2 linked regions of the Astyanax mexicanus genome follow. The protein of the gene in region 2 interacts with the protein of the main gene of each other region in a biochemical or structural test. Links are inferred from orthologs where the notes say so. Each region holds a gene or a part of one and is shown on either strand. Other genes may lie near its edges. The genes, in order: mecp2 and prpf40a.

Region 1 (8,931 bases), on a different chromosome or scaffold from region 2:
AATTTCCGAACATAATCAGAAACACAGAAACAGTGACTTGCAGAAAAGTGAGTTAAAGAGAGGCAGAGACAGTTTCTAAATAATCAAAAAGCACAATTTAATAATTCAAGACCTTTTTTCTCTGCCATATACAGCACTAGAAAAAAACTAAAAAAAATGTGATTGAAAACTAGCATTATTCCACCCAATATTGATTTCTGAACTTTATGAAAATGAACGTTTTTTTTTTTTTGCATTATTTAAGGTCTAAAAGCTCTTTTAGAGCATTTTCTTCAAATTTTGTTTGTAGTTTATATAATAAAACAACAATGTTAATTTTACTCAAGCATAAACCTTTAAATACCAAAATCAGATAAACTAATTCAGAAACGTATATAATAAAACAATTATATAATAAAACTTCATATAATTTGTTTCTTTTTTCCCCTGGTTTCATTTAAGATTTTAAAGTATAAAAGATACAGAATAGCTGCTGAGTTTAGGAGTATTTGTCTGTCTGTGATTTGTCTCTTTGTCTAAATGTATTTATGTATCGATCGTGAAGGTGGTGGTCCTCTATAACACACCCAAGTATAGGCCATTAAGCTTTTGGTACTAAGGAGAGTCCAATAAAATGAACATGTGTGTCAACTTCCTTTCCCTAAAGTTACACTGGAACTTTTTACTGTTTCTACTGTTGAGTTTAGGTATTTTACTGTGCAATAGAACCTGGACCTCTAGATTAAATCACCGTTTGTGGAGTCCTGAAGGGTGTTTTTGAGCTCCTCTCCGTTGCGCAGGATGGTTTCCTGTGATTTGAGGGCTGCGCTCTGGGCCTCTACAAGATCCTCCGCCATCCTCTGAGTGGACGCCAGCTGCTCGGCCACACTGGCTGAATTCTCGGTCAACCTGACACAGAGAGGCTTATAGTTTATATATTAAGGAAAAGAGGCTGCATTTTTACAATACAGATTAAGCTAGAAATTGTAAAAAATTATAAAACATAGATTCCGAAAAAAGATAATCCTTCATCAACATTAAATTTAGCCACATGGAACTGGAATCTATACTTGCAAAACAGTAGATATTCTATACAGCTAGTAAAATATTAGGAGCCTATTTTCCAGAACTTAGATTTCCCAAAATAGTATCTTTACAGTTCCTTTTTTTTTTTAAGTGACGCTACTGAATAACTATAAAAAAACCATAACATTAAAATAGTGCTGGGAGGATAATTGAATCAATAAAGTCATTAATCAAATTGCTGTTTTAGTGCAATCATAAAATTATTAACTTTTACATATAGGGGAATTTCTCAAACCGAAAGAAAGAAAGAAAGAAAGAATATAGGGGAATCTCTCAAAACAAGAAAGAAAGAAAGAAAGAAAGAAAGAAAGAAATAAAGAAATAAAGAAAGAAAGAAAGAAAAAGAATATAGAGGAATTTCTCAAAACAAGAAAGAAAGAAAGAAAGAAAGAAACACTCATATATATATATATATATATATATGAAATATAAGAAGGTTAAATTTTGCACCTAGTTGTTCATCAACTGATTGTAAGGTTTAATGGATCTGTTAACTATATTTAAAAGAAGAGAAATTAAACTTTTGTTTTTATATTGGCTTTATAGCATTTTAATTGGGTTTTGATGAGTTTGCTTCCCTTAAGATTAAAATGTAAAATAAACACATTTGACAGCTCAAACTGACGCAAATATAAAACTTAAACAAAACGTGTTTCCAGTTATGTACTAACAAACAATCAAAATTGTAATTGTTCATTTAACTAAAGAATATTGAGATTGTAAAAAAAAAAAAAAAGTTATCCAGTCCTACACAGAAAGTGTTTCTTCCTTGATGAGGCACAAAAAAAAGAAACAACTTTAAAATCAGTGAGTAGGTAATGACCATGAGTCTGGACCTCTCGCCCAGAATCGCCCTTTCCCACCTGTGGATGGTGTTTTCTGCCCGATTCTGCCACTGCTCGCTCTGCAGGTAATGGCAGATGCTGTGGGCGTGGGTGAAGAACTCTGTGTAGGTGTTGAACGCGACAGGATCCATGTCACGGGTGCAGACTTTAACATCGCTGCCCTCAGGGCACTCTGGGAAATTACGTCCGGACCTACAATGAAAAAACATCAAACAGTCACCTGATTGGAGCACACAGACTGTATGGCGGTTATATAAAAAGCATTTAGTCTTTTTAAACGGGCAGGACAAAGCTGAGCTCTCAGGTCAGCTCTCTAGGGTGGAGTTAGATTACAGTAGCAATAAGCTGAATAAATCAACGTCAATTTATTTGTCTCAGAGCTACTATCAAATGAAACAGAAACAGACAATAAACAATACATCATTAGCTTCACAGCAGCCCAAGGCTATGCAGCTCTAGTAACGCTGATTCACATTCACAACGAGCAGAATCTGACAGTTCAGATACCAAAAAGGAATTAAAGCTGATATATCTGTGCTTATTTCTATTACATAGAGGCCCAGTTTAAACTTTTTCAAATGTTTTCCTACATTGTAAAATAATATGAAGCATCTAAATCTAGAATCACTTTACTAAATAATTCCATATGTTTTTATTCATAGTTTGGATGGCTTTAGTATCAATCTACAAAATGTAAATTATGGAATATTATATCCAAATCTTTAAGTGGTACTGTGGGTGAATATATAAAATACAAACTCTCATTCAGAACATTAAAATAAAAAAATATATATATATTTTGTACATTATTTTGTACTATTATTTTCCATTACATAACCATGTTTAGCTTTCATTCCAGATCAAATAAAGCAGGGTAAGGGTGATCTGATTAAATGATGAAACATTATTATTTTTAAGATTGTAGTGTTTTATAGAACGTATCGTCACTGTCCAATGAAAAACTAGTATATCCATTTTTGTAATTTTTTTGTTTATTACATAATTTTAACAGACAAACTGTCCCTTCCACTGTGCCAAAAATTTCTTGATGAACAGACCAATAGAAATACTTAAAATTGAACTGAAATAAACTCTTTTTACATTGACTTCCATTGAAAGTTTAGAAGGTTTTTTTTCTCTTCTGTAAAAAGGAGACACTTTTTTTAATTGGACAGTGAAAATATAGAGTTGTATAGAAAATGGATGAAAACCTATGCATAGTATTGTAGTTAATGATGCTCGTTTGGCATTTTTAAAACACTAGTTATTCGTCTAACCGTAGTAATCAGTCGATTAATCAATTAATAATCGAATCAGTCCTATTAAGTGTGTGTGGTGGGTGAATCTGAGACCTCCTCAGGTGGCAGTGGGTGAAGGCCACGGCTATCATGCTCTGCATGTCCGCGGTGAACTCCCTGCAGCCCGTGTGGATCTTCTCCAGAGCCCGGCTCCAGCACTCCCCGTACCGGGGCTGCACCGCCAGATCCCGCACCTTCCGCAGCTCATCCCGGCCCTTCTCCTCCAGGGTTTTATCCGCGGCCACGGCGAGCAAAACCCCAGCAAACCACCACAACTGCACCCCAACGCGCATGGCTTACCGCAGCTAACAGGCCCTGGATTCAGTAATGGGAAAACCACAGCGTGGAAGCCACGCCCACAAACCCCGGTCCAATCAAGACAGAGCCGACGGTCCAATTAAGCTTCGTGCAGGCTGATTGGAGAATTAAGAGGACCTTCTATGGAGGTGTCCTAAATCAACCACTTGCTCCCTAAGTAGTGAATTGAGCCTAAAGAAGGTAGGCTTTGTGACACATGCTAATATTGTTTTTTAAAACTCCCAGACCTAGTTTAGCGTCACTACTGGATAAAATATAGAAACTAAATAAAAGTATCTGAATAAAATGTTTTTTATTTTCATGTTTTAATTATATTTTTTGTACTAATACTATTACAGTATTTATTCCTATTCCTACTATTTTCTCTTTGTCTCGCTGTTTTGTTATTTTTTGGTTTTCCTTTGTGAAACTTTAATTAGAACTGCAATATTTATATGAAAATGTTACGTAATTATTGTATTATTATTATTATTGTTAGTCACATTATATTAATTATATTTTTACAGCTTTAACAAGAATTATATCACTTGAATGCAAATTTAAAGTTAGTGGTTATGTTCAACAACAAGTAAAACATTTATACAGCTGAACTATATCACTATATCTATATTTATCTATAGCTGAACTTCATCACAGAGAGTTCTGAGGCAGCTGTGATACGGCATAGGACTCCAAAAGGAATTAGACATATTACTGTATGCTTTAACATTTGTTTAGATGTATAGTATCACTACTTGCCAATGTCAGCATTTAAACTAAATAATTGTGCTATGAAATGCCAAAAAGCATTTACTAGTGGGTGGTTTGCAGTGGATGTGGCATTAAGTGGGTATGTATTGGCAATATTAAATTGAAAATTAATTGACAATTTTTGAGGGCCAGGGTTAGGTTTGTCCTGAGTTTTTGGTTTTGTAGATGATGCTCACTCTTCTGGTTTACACTGATCGATACAGTGTGAAGCTTCTTGGTCTGATTATATTTCACTGATCTTAAAATTGGTGAAAATCAAATAAGCTAGTGTTCTGAAAGCATGCGGTTATGTTCCTATGTGCCATAAACGGATTAGAATCGGGTTAGAGAATTAGAAACTGACAGGAATAGGAGGTGAGCAGCAAGTAGGGCATAAAGAAAGCAAAATCATGTAGCCTGAAATTAAAAGTGTTTGTCTTAAGGTAGATAGTATAACAAGGTGTGTTCAAACTTTTGACTGGTAACGTATAATTTACAAGACAAAAGAATTAAAACCTACAGTACAAATCTTAACATTAATGCATAAATTAGGATAAAATATTAATGCAAACTCTGGAAGTAGTTCCCATCAACTGCTTGGCAGTCAAAATAATCTTCTAATTATCTAAACATCATAAACATCATAAGTTTTAAAATTTCACCATAATATTTATATCAGTGTACAGCAGGGTTACACCGTGAGCTCTACACTGTAAAACTCGAACAAAAACACAGTGCAAACAGATAATGTAGTTTAGCCTGTCACAATAATTGTATTATCAATGTCCTCAATATTTATTCCGAATTAGAATATTGTCTATTGTGTTTGTTCACATTCATAAAAGTGAACAGTATTTTAGCCAATGCTTCAAAAAAGTATATTATATAGTATATTTCCCAAATTATGATTAATCGCAAATTTGTTGTCGTTAAAAGTATATGATTGCTTTGCTGTGTTATTCTGTTATCATTATATTTAATGGTCATAAACTGACAATACTATTGTTAATTAATAATTAATCACAATAATTACTGGGACGATATATCAAGATATATCAATTTTATTACAAAATACAAAAAACACATAAACACCCTCCTATTCAGATGTAACAGTATGGTATTGCAGTGTGTGTGTGTCTGTGTGTGTACCCCCCTCTCTCACTCGGCCTAGACATACATTCCTCTCCGATGATTGCCTGCCCCCCCCCCAGTTCTCGCGAGAAGTGCTGCCGCGCAGAGCGGGACAGAGCGGCGGAGCGGCCGCGGAGGTCTCGCGAGATGTGCAGCAGAAGCGATGGTGTAGAAGAGGGAGTGGGGAGAGGGCGAGGGGCGCCCACAAAGATGTTGCGTGATTTTTTGGGGGAATTTATTTATTTAAATAATAAAATATAAAAAAATGGCCGCCGCGGAGAGCGGAGAGGAGAGACTGTAAGTGCAAAATTGCTGTTTGTTGAACGCCGTAAAAACCGCCGCGGAACCGCTGATTCAAATGTCGGGCGCCGCACAAAAAAGCGCCGCTGCTGTTGCGCAGTATTCATTGTAGCTGTACCGGAGCCGCTGTTGGGCTGCGAAATAAATAAATAAAATAGTAGTGCTGTTAGCTCGCCGCGCTAGCCCGTTAGCCAGCTAGCCAGAAAGGCGTTGAGAGGATACGTCACCTGTATTTCCCCCTCTGCCTTTCCCAGAATCGCGGGGGATACGAGCGAATAGCTACTTTCCGCGCGGCTGTTCGGTTAGCTAGCTTAGCTCAGTAGCGGGAGAGGAGCAGGAGGAGGAGGAGGTGTGTTTTGGGTCGTTTTCTGACCTCACTCAACTCTCTGCGAGATAACCTGGCTAGCTAACTAGCTACTACCTCCAAACCTCTCTCTTTATGTGTGTGTTCTCTCGTGAAATACTGTAGCTAAGCTAGCTAGTGCCTCTCTTGCTGCTTGTTGTCCTGCTTTCTCCTTCTTCTCTTTCTTTTTTTTGACGGTTCAAAACTGAACCCGTTCACCCCACCGTGCAGTTAGTTGAAAATAAGTTAGTTAGCCAGCCTGCTATCTATCTGTCATACCCAGAAACCTGCTTCTGCTGTTTTCATGCTTGTGCCTTCTCACAACAATGTTAGTAACTGAAAAACACACAAACTCGTGTCATAGTCGCTTTAGAGCACACACACACAAACACATGTATATGTTAGACAGGCTTGTCTTGTTTGTCTTGTTTGATGGTCAGTCAACTAGTTGGCTTAGTTAGCTTGATGTACAGTTACAGCTGTTGTCTCTGGTCAGTTGAGTTCAGATGGAGGTTTTGCGTTTTTTTCTTTGGGAGAGGATGAGCTGGGGTGAGTGCACTCACTCTGAGCACAAGACACTCCCATCTCATTTCAGATTTCAGGTTAGTTTCTGTACCAAATGGGCCACAACACAGTGCTGCTTTAGGTTGTCACATCTTGGTCATCAAAACATCACACAAACTCTTAGCCTACTACCTGCTCTCACATGGTGGCCTGGTTTGGGGTAATTTTCTGAAATCACTGGCTAGCTAGCTAACTAGCTCCTATCTCCAAACCTGTGCATGTGTGTTTTTTTGGGAACAATTTTTTTTTTTAAATGTGAAAACGGCACCGGTTCACCCCACTGTGCAGTTGAAAATAAGTTAGTTTGCCAGACTGCTATCTGTCATTTCCAGAAAGTTGCTTTTGCTTCTAATGTTTCCATGCTTGTGTCTTCTCACAGCAATAATACTAACTAAAAAACACATAAACTTGTGTTATAATGCCTTTACATTCACACACACACACTTGCTGACTGTTTCTGCTATTTTGTTTGATGGTCACTCACCTAATTTGATGTGCAGTTACAGCTCTCAGTTCAGGTCAGTGAGTACATATAACCTGAAATCATCCACATTTTTCGATGGTCATTCTTAGCAGCATAGTGTTTTTAACCCAACTAACTTCACATGCTATTGCATCTGTTGCTGCTACTGAGGTGGATACAGGTGACAGTTCAGTTGAGTTCAGTTCAGTTCAGTTGGTGGCTTTACTTTTTTGTGTTTTCTTTTTTTATGTGGCTTGAAAACTATACTAAGTTTGCTCATGCTTGCAAATTATGCATTTGGATGCTTTTTAAGAGAGATGAGGACACCCTTAACCTCCAAGCACATTCTTTTCCGAAGCTGTAGTAGTGACAAACATTACCCGAACGTTTGTTGTAGAACATCTAATGCTAGCTTCCACACATGCTGGCCTGATTCTGCGGTCTGTTTGTGTGCACATGCATGCAAATTACTTAGTTAATTAGTTAGGATGGTCTTGTTTGATTATAATTGAACTACCTTGACATACAGCTGTCAGTTCAGGACATTTCTGCTTAATGTTGTTACACCTTGGGAATCAGACTTTCACCCAATCTCGATGTAGTGCCTGCTTTTATATGGTGGCCTGGTTGTGCTTTCTATGGCTTTACCATCCAAGTTAGCAAATTTGTAGAGAAGATAGTTAAACAGTTGGAGGCTTCCATGGAAGGATGAGGACACTAGTATATGTAGTGCTTGCTTTCCGCACACACACACACATATGCTGGGCTTGCCTTTTTGTCTGTTTACATACATATGTTTGCAGGTTTTTTTTAGCTAGTTAGGCTGGTCTTGTTTGATGGTCACCAACAACTTGCCTGCTGTGCAGTTATAGATGTCAGTTTAGGTCATTTGAGTTCAGATGGAGGTTTTTCTTTGGGATTAATGAGCTGGAGTAAGTGCAAGTGCACAAGACACTTCCTTTTAAGTATATATGTGATTTAAGGGTAATTTGGTTGCGTTTCCGATTTCAGGAACACAACACATTGCTTCTTGGATGCATTCTGAAATACCCATCTACATATGTAGCTTCTTATATGTTCTCACATGTGGGACATCAGACTGATTTTCCTCTTGTCATACTTTCTCATATATATGCCTTGGAGATTTTCTATGGAGGTTGGGCGCATTGTGTTCAACTACACATCTTGCGTACAGCCACATTAGTGACCGGAAATCGGAAGTCTTGACTGGCTATTATTGCTAAACCATGCTAACTTTATATGCAGATTGCTTCAGTTGCTAACATCAAGGTGGATACAGGTGATTAAGCGCTGCTCAGTTGAAGGCTTTGTTTGGAAGGATGAGCTGAAGTTAAAGTACACAAGGCAAGACACTCGTATTTGAGCAGGCTTGTGTTGTGATTTCAGGGTAATATGTTTAAACTCTATTGCAGGTTAGTTGCTGTATCAAATGCGCCACAACACAGTGCTTCTTGTGTACTTTCCTGAAGAACCCACACTTCCTGTGTATTGTCACGTTAGGTACAGGGTGGGTGATATGACTAAATACCTCATACACTGCCTGGCAAAAAAAAAAGTTGCTGCCTAAAAAAATCACACTCTAAAATTTCGTTTAACTTTTAGCATTGATTGTGGCATTGTTTTGATAAGCTTCTGCAATGACAGAAGATTTATTTCAATCAAGTGTTACATTTTCACCAAGATTTTGCACTGATAATGGTAGAGCCATCAGGAAAGAAAAAATCCATTGATCCAGGAATAACATGGTCTATATTCAGTATATTCAGGTAGTCAGCTGGCCTCATTCTTTCAGCACATACTGTTGCTGAACCTAAACCTGCAGACCAACTGCAGCAATCCCAGACCATCAGATAG
Region 2 (7,743 bases):
CCAGTCTAAACTTTGTGTAGATTGTGTAGATTTAGCCTCCTGAATTTGGCAACCCGAGTAAGCTTCGTGTCTTAGTTGTTTTGAAATTGGACTGCTGTAGCTGTTTTACACGCTCGCTCTCATTTCCTACAGAATGTACCTTTAAGTTTATAATAGACTTTGTCTGCACATCTAAACAATGACTTAGTACATATTTAACTAATTAAACATTAACTTAGTCTTTTTCCAGTAGATTTAGTAGAATTCAAAGTGCAAGACCTTTTATAAAATTTGCATCTTTTTGACAGTAATATTGCAAATGGCAAAACAGGATTTGACCCTTGTTCAAATGTAATTTCTTACCTGACCCATTGGAGGACCTCCCATTGGGGGCATCATAGGGGGCATCATCCCTGGAGGCATGGGAGCCATGTTAGGGGGCCTTTGGCCCATCGGTGGCATTCCCATTGGTGGGAAGTGAGGCGGCATTCCCGGAGGTCCCATCTTGGAGAGAAGCAAAGCAACACATTAGGAAAAACAGTTCAGGCTACAAATTGTGATTAGCAATACAAAACAAAACACAAGAAACTGCTTTCCAACACCAACTTACAAAAGGCGGTGGCATCCCTGAGGGTGGGACACCAGGAAAAGGTGGTGCTTGGCTTGGGCCATTATTACCATCAGCAGAGGACTGTCATGAACAAGAGAGCCCATACAATTACCACCGCAGCTCTGAGGAACAGATGCTCTAAAAAACTTCTGGTGAGTATGTTACTGTTATCCTTTAATGTAACAGAGACTTTAAAACAAGAACTCAGCAAAAAGGAAAAGTACACATCCAGCACCAGCAAGCTTGAAGTAAAATTCAGTCCTGAAACTAAAATGTTTATGGTGGACCACAACTCAACACAACACAGTGCATGCCTTTGAGGTGCACAGCCAACATGCTCATGTGGGGCTCATATGGGTGGACTGAGTGCTAGGTGAATATCAGATGGGAATGGGCTATTAGTGGGACTGTACATGTGTAACGATCCATATTGTTACAGCCCATCTTTATCTCACATGAGCCGCTTGTGCAATGCACTGATGAGCCACCATCACGGACATCCATTTGTGGGGTCAACATTAAAACTTTCTGGGTGCCAGAGTTACGCTACCCATAAAGGCCCCACCTGGGCATATTTTAAATGGATGGATGAGGTCCAGCTGTTGATATTATAACCATATACAATGACTGTTATCAACTTATTATTCAATATATTGACATAATCTAATTAGGACCTTATCAGTGCTTAAAGAAAAATGACCCAACTGTACATTTAATTATATAGAGTGTAAACAAATCCTGTTAAATTGGAAAATATGCAGCAAAAAAATAACAATAACCACTTAGCAATAATTTACCAATAATTTCTGGAACACATCATCAAAATGTTTATTTAGTGGGAAACACATAATAATAATAATAATAATAATAATAATAATAATAATTCAATATTATAATGAGTTAGCTAGATAACATTTGCTGGTAACTTTATAACCAGCTACATCAATTTATAACATTCTAGCTAGATACTTTCATTAGCTACTTTTTACACCCGAGACCCCTAAGTGATTTGTTACCTAGCTTGCTAGCCTAACTATGTTAGACAGAGACTGTAATGCAGACCTAGGCATTTTAAGGGCCAGGGGCCACATCTGACCCTTTGCTTTCCTATAGAAGGCCCTTAACATATCCACCTCAGAAACTAAACCAGACTTTACTACACTTGTTAAATACCAATACAGGCCTAAAAACAGTAAAACAGTTTATTATACTATGACCAAATAGCAGACAAACATAGTACTTTGTATTAAGTGAGTTTTTTTTTTTTTACTGCAAACACATGAACATTTTGTTCACTGCTGTTAATGTGTTTATATTGGTCAAATAATGACATAATATAATAGCGGTATTTAGGTTATATATACCTATACCTGCTTCACATGTTTATTGCCTAATTGTAACATCTAAACTTGGTTGGAACAGACCTGTAGAAGTAAAAACTTTGAACACTTTGAAATGAGCTAAGCTACCTAAATTTGGTAGCTAACAGCTAAATCTGGTGAGGTGAAAAAAACACAGATTTCACACACTGTCCTGTAGTGATGCTCTCAGGATGTTCAGTGTCACTTATGAACTTGACGGGTTTAACCTCCTGTCAATTGTAAATCTTGAAGATTTTTTTTTAAGCACTACATAAAAAGCTAAAGCACAATAGTAACTGTAATAGAAAAATATAAAACAATAAGTAAATCTATTAATGTCAAAATATAATGAATAAAATAATAAAATTGGCTGTTTTCTAAACTTCATTTCCAAAGCAATATTTTCCTGAATACAAATCAAACTGTTTATGTCCTCCAACCCTAGTTTCATTATGTTCGTCTAGTTTTTACGTCTATTTTCAAACATGCAAAATTAGGGTTTAATTCCTGTTACTGATCTGGAATTATTAAGCGAAATAGAGAGAAAACAGGTAGCTTCTCAAAGTGTCCTACAAGAGATTTCAAAGCCCTCAAATTTTCAGAATGTAAATAAGTTACTTTACTGCAGTAAAAATGGTTTTGTATCACCTACACCTGTAGCCTGTTTACAGTACCAGGCATTTTAGGGGTTTAAATTGAATGACAGAGTACTGTAGGGACATTTACACATCTTTTAAAAGGTCTATGACACAAATGTCACTGTGTATTATGTTATGTGGCCCCTTGGGTAAATTAACTGCCCAGCCATGCTCTGATGTGATGTGTTTATAATAGAGAACTAGCTAACGAAGCTAGGCTGCTAACCCAGCTAACAGCTAGCTGAACTAATCACTCAGTAACGTCAGAGTTTTAAACTCAGTAACCTGTGGAAGAACAGACTAACTTAGCTACTTTATAAAAAGGTAAATTTACTCTAATAATAATTAGGAAAAATATGAATAAAATACACTGAAGAATAAGGAGCTGAACTTTCACAGACAGCTCGGCTAGCTCGCTATAGCCACAGCCGGGCTCAGTCTCTTCTCTTTGTGTGTATATTGAGGATTTGAGGACACAGACCGGGGCGCAGACACGGCTCTAGGTGCTGCCCCGCTGCGCAGCGCTAAACTGGAGCTACAGGACCGCTGTAGTTTATATATAAATTAGTATAAACTGGTCGCTGAGCGCTGAATGAAGCAGCCGGGGGAGAATGACGGAGAACAGCGCAGCTCAGCGCAGCCCGCTAACACTCACCCACTCTCAGCACAACACACTGAGATAACCCCGCCGCCCGAGACCCCGAGACCCGACCCAGCCCAAACCCAGCACAGTAAACCCCTGAACCCAGCCCTGTACCGCTCACTGTCCCCAAACCCAACCCGATCCAGCACTTTACACACAGCGGATTCATTAACTCACCATGTTGACTCCACATTAGCAGCCCAACTTCTCCTCCACCACGCAATAAGCTGCCCTCTGATTGGCTCTTCCATTCAAACCCAAAGTTCAGGGAAACAGAGCGCTGCCTTTCGGCCCTCCGCGATGCGCACACAATGCGCAGAACCAGCCACCGACTGAGGTTAAACTGAGCGGGACTTTTTTTGTAGTTATCATGAAACTTATTACACAAAATATATGCTATTTTATATAATTATTTTAATATTGTTTTAATATTAAAAGTAAATGATAAAATAAAATTATAAGAGTGATAAGAAATGCTACAATGAATAATAATGGACTAAAAATCAAAATCAAAAATCAAAATCAATATAGAATAAAAATAAGTAAATAAAAAGTAAGAACAATAAAAATTTAAATAATAAGAGAAAGGATAAACTAAGCTTAGCAATAATAATGATGATGATAATATATGCGTCACACAGTTACATTTCTGGGGAGGTGTGCGTCAGGCTACGGCATAGGTTTGACGCAGAAGTAAAATTAGTATTTACTTTAGTGTGCTGCTTTCCTTGTATGTTTGTAGACGTGAAGAGATTCTTGGGGGACCATAGGGGGGTCCAAGTGTGTTGTGGGAGGGATACTGGCCCCTGTTGCCCCTCTAGAACCTTCACTGTAGTCAACATGGCACCTCATTGCAAAGAACTCTCTGAGGATCTGATAAAAAGGATTGTAGCTCTGCATAAAGATGGCTTAGGCTGTACAAAACTACGCTGCAGCATGGTGGCCAAGACAATATAGCAGTTTTTCAGGACAAGTTACATCCAGAACAGGCCTCACCATAGTCAACCTTAGAAGTTGAGTTCACATGCTCAGCGGCATATTCTGAGGTTGGCTTTTGAAAATAGATGCATGAGTGCTGCCAGCATTGCTGCAGAGTTAAAAGGGGTGGGTGAGTACTAAGACCAAACGCCAAACACTGTATTAAAGGACATGGCTTACTGGAGCCATGTCCTGTGGTCTGATTAGACAAAAAAACTTATTTGGTTCAGAATGTGGCACATATGTGTGTCAGCAACCAGGTGGAGAGTACAAAGACAAGTGTGTCTTGCCTACAGTTAAGCATGGTCTGGCTGTGGGGGGCTACATTAATTGAGGGATCCATGAATGCCAACATGTCCTTACATACTGAAGCAGCGCACAATCCCCTCCCTTTGGAAACTAGACCGCAGGGCAGTTTGACCTGTTGACCACTGCCTTTCCTAAGAAACTAAGGGTGAAGATGCTGGACCGGCCAAGCATGTTTCCAGACCTAATCCCTATTGACAAAATATTGACATTGGCACAATTTGGCCATTTTACTTCGGGGTGCACTTGGAAGTGGTTTAGACATTAATGGCTGTGTCTTAAACAAGCTGTACACTGACTACTTTACATTGTATCAAAGAATCTTCAGTGTTGTTCAATGAAAAGTACAATTTTTACAAAAATGTGAAAGGTGTACTCACTTGTGAGATACTGTTTAAAGTTCTAAAGTAGATAAAAACATATTTTGACACTTTAGGTTTTCCATACAGCTCAAAGTGAAAAAGATATAAAATACATACAGTCAGCAAGACAATGATCTAGCAACATATCAGAGATTCAGGCCAGAGTTGTAATAGCAGAGATGCTTCCAATTGCAGTTAAATGTATCAATATGATTTTGAAACTGTAGTTTTACAATAATTACATAATATAATTGTATATTTATTTATATTATTATTATGCCAGATATATAAATATGTACTTTTTATGCTCCCATATCTACTTCAAAATCATCTTGAAAGACCTCCTTATACTCCTGATAGTAGCATTTTGCCCTTAGAAAAAAATAAGGTGATACCAAAAATAAATACCAATACAGGATCACTTCCAGCACATCAGATTCTCTCCAACACAGAAGCATCAAATATCCCTCACCATATTTTATGTATGGTGCTCTGTTTGATGTATGTATGTCTCTTCCTCTTACATCAATCACACCTGCAATCTCTGTGGCCAAAGAGTTGAGATCAATCAGACTACAGGATTTGCTCAGAGTGAAAAATATAGAGTGTTAATACATTTTATGCTCTTAATTTTTTTTTCTGCTCAATTCTGCAAACAGTTTGTTGGCATGGTGGTGCTGGCTTTTTAGCTGGAGTCAATAGGCAAGACAGTGCATGCAAACAGTGCATAAACTTCTTATTATTAATTATACAATCTTGAGAATAAAGGTAGAATAAAGGGGTTTGAATGACACCATAGAAGATATACAGCTCTGGAAAAAAATTAAGAGACCACTATTTATAGGTATATGTTTAAGTAAAATTAACATTGTTGTTTTATTCTATAAACTACGCTTCAACATTTCTCCTAAATTCCAAATAAAAATATTGTCATTAGAGCATTTATTTTGCAGAAATGAAAATGGCTGAAATTACAAAAAATATGCAGTATACCTTTCAGACCTCAAATAGTAAAAAAACTAAAAGTTTTATGAGTTCAGAATGCAATATTTGGTGGAATAACCCTGGTTTTTAATAACAGTTTTCATGCATTTTGGCATGTTCTCCTCCTCCAGTTTTGCATACTGCTTTTGGATGAATTTAGGCCACTCCTGGTGCAAAATTCAAGCAGGTCAGCTTTGTTTGATGGCTTATGATTATCCATCTTCCTCTTGATTATATTCCGGAGGTTATCAATTTTTCAAAGAAAATCATCGTTTTTAAGTGGTCTTAATTTTTTTTTAGTAAATTTTCAATTTACTAGTTAGTTTGGCTTAGGTGATCCCAGTATTGTATGTTAACTCAAATATTTAATTAAGAAGCAGGTTTTATAGTGATCTGTACGAATCTCTTTAGTGATTGATCGTATCAAAAGTTTTTTTTATTTTTATTAAAAGGTAAAAATATTTTAATTTGTTTTATTGTTGTATTCTATTGTCTTGGTAGGTGTTTTATTTAAATTGCATGCAAATTAAGTGAAACCATTAGGTTAATGACTCGGGCAGTTATTTTTGTTTACATGTTATTATGAGGCTGCTGCTTAAATAATAAATGAGGAAGGGTCTAATTGTTCGACTGCATCATGAGCGGAGAAATATTATACGAGCCAAACTTCTGACATTTGTAACACAAGGGAAATCAATCAGTGCAGCCTCCCATGGTACAGTACACAGCTGACTCTGAGCGGGCGAAAACAATATTGCGTCCGACACAGGATCTATTTATAAACTCTCTGCAGGTAGCTGGTAAAAATCTGTCTGTCTCTGTGTTGCCATGGTCATTCGTCATGCTGCTTTAATTGGCCACATGTTCCAGTTTACCCCGAAAAATTTATTTCTTTCACCCCGTGAGGATTGAGATTCATTTTTGTGCCTGAAATATAGCACCCTCACAATGCCACCCAGTTCTGTTTGACTTCAAACAAGCCTGCGCTGAGTGGAATTTTTAACCTTATGTTCCGGTGTTGCTGCTGGGTATAGTAAGAAGAACATAAAAAAAAATGTGGGGAGAATTTTGAGGAACTGAACATCAGTCTTTAACATAATATATTTTTTGCATGGTGTCCAATATTTTTTATGTTTAATATGGAACATCAGCTAATCATTATGAGGAGCTGCCAGTTCTTCACTTTCAAATGATAAGCCATTAGAAGCTTTAATGGCTGAAAATGAGGCGCTCTTTCACACTGGTAAAAGAGACAGAGCAGGATGACATGGCACAAGCGGATATGTGGGGAAAGAAAAAGCAATTTTCATGTAATTGGTTATCATCCCTGAGGTTTGAGCTGAGCCTAATGCTGGGTTCAAAGCCTTCCAAAATTCTCTGTATTGTACACAGGCACATGGTGGTCTTGTAAGGTCTATCGCTGTGCCATTGTTGCCAGCTGCTTTGACCATTTTTAGCAAAGAGAGAGACCGTGGAGAACATGGGCACATATGGGGCTTGAATTATAGAACATCTCAAAGCAAAAAAAATGGGTTATAAAGCAGACTCACTTCAATATATTTGCTGAAAATCTTCAGACTGAATTTAGGTGTTATATATTTAAAGTAGTGGTGTCAGTCGATTAATAAATGTAGTCAATATTCTGGATTAACAGCGATTAATCACTTTTGTTCTTCTGAAGACACAAATTGTTATAGTGGATATTTAAATGTAAATAAAAGAATGAATGTAAGAAATGTAAAAAACAATTATATTTATATTAGTGGTGTCAATTAAAATACTAATATATACTTGTATATTTTAGGAGAGATAAAGTCAAGATAAAGTCAACATCTAAGCTTGTTTGTTAGAATTTTTTAATTAGAACTTAATTAGCTGAGTA

What was found.
Region 1: the proteins of prpf40a (region 2) and mecp2 form a complex in vitro, tested with the Homo sapiens proteins (2 studies listed by BioGRID, with this or other methods). The link is inferred for Astyanax mexicanus from reciprocal best matches to the Homo sapiens genes PRPF40A and MECP2.

The regions. Positions count from the first base shown.
Region 1 is NC_064419.1:4,150,203-4,159,133, reverse strand, and holds the start of mecp2 (methyl-CpG-binding protein 2), read left to right. Parts: upstream 1-5,507; 5' UTR 5,508-5,651; coding exon 5,652-5,683; intron 5,684-8,931. Other genes in the region: uncharacterized protein LOC103030869, read right to left, coding at 731-888, 1,929-2,102, 3,263-3,501. UniProt on the Homo sapiens protein: Chromosomal protein that binds to methylated DNA. It can bind specifically to a single methyl-CpG pair. It is not influenced by sequences flanking the methyl-CpGs.
Region 2 is NC_064418.1:29,812,057-29,819,799, reverse strand, and holds the start of prpf40a (pre-mRNA-processing factor 40 homolog A), read right to left. Parts: upstream 3,455-7,743; 5' UTR 3,412-3,454; coding exon 3,409-3,411; intron 671-3,408; coding exon 590-670; intron 484-589; coding exon 343-483; intron 1-342.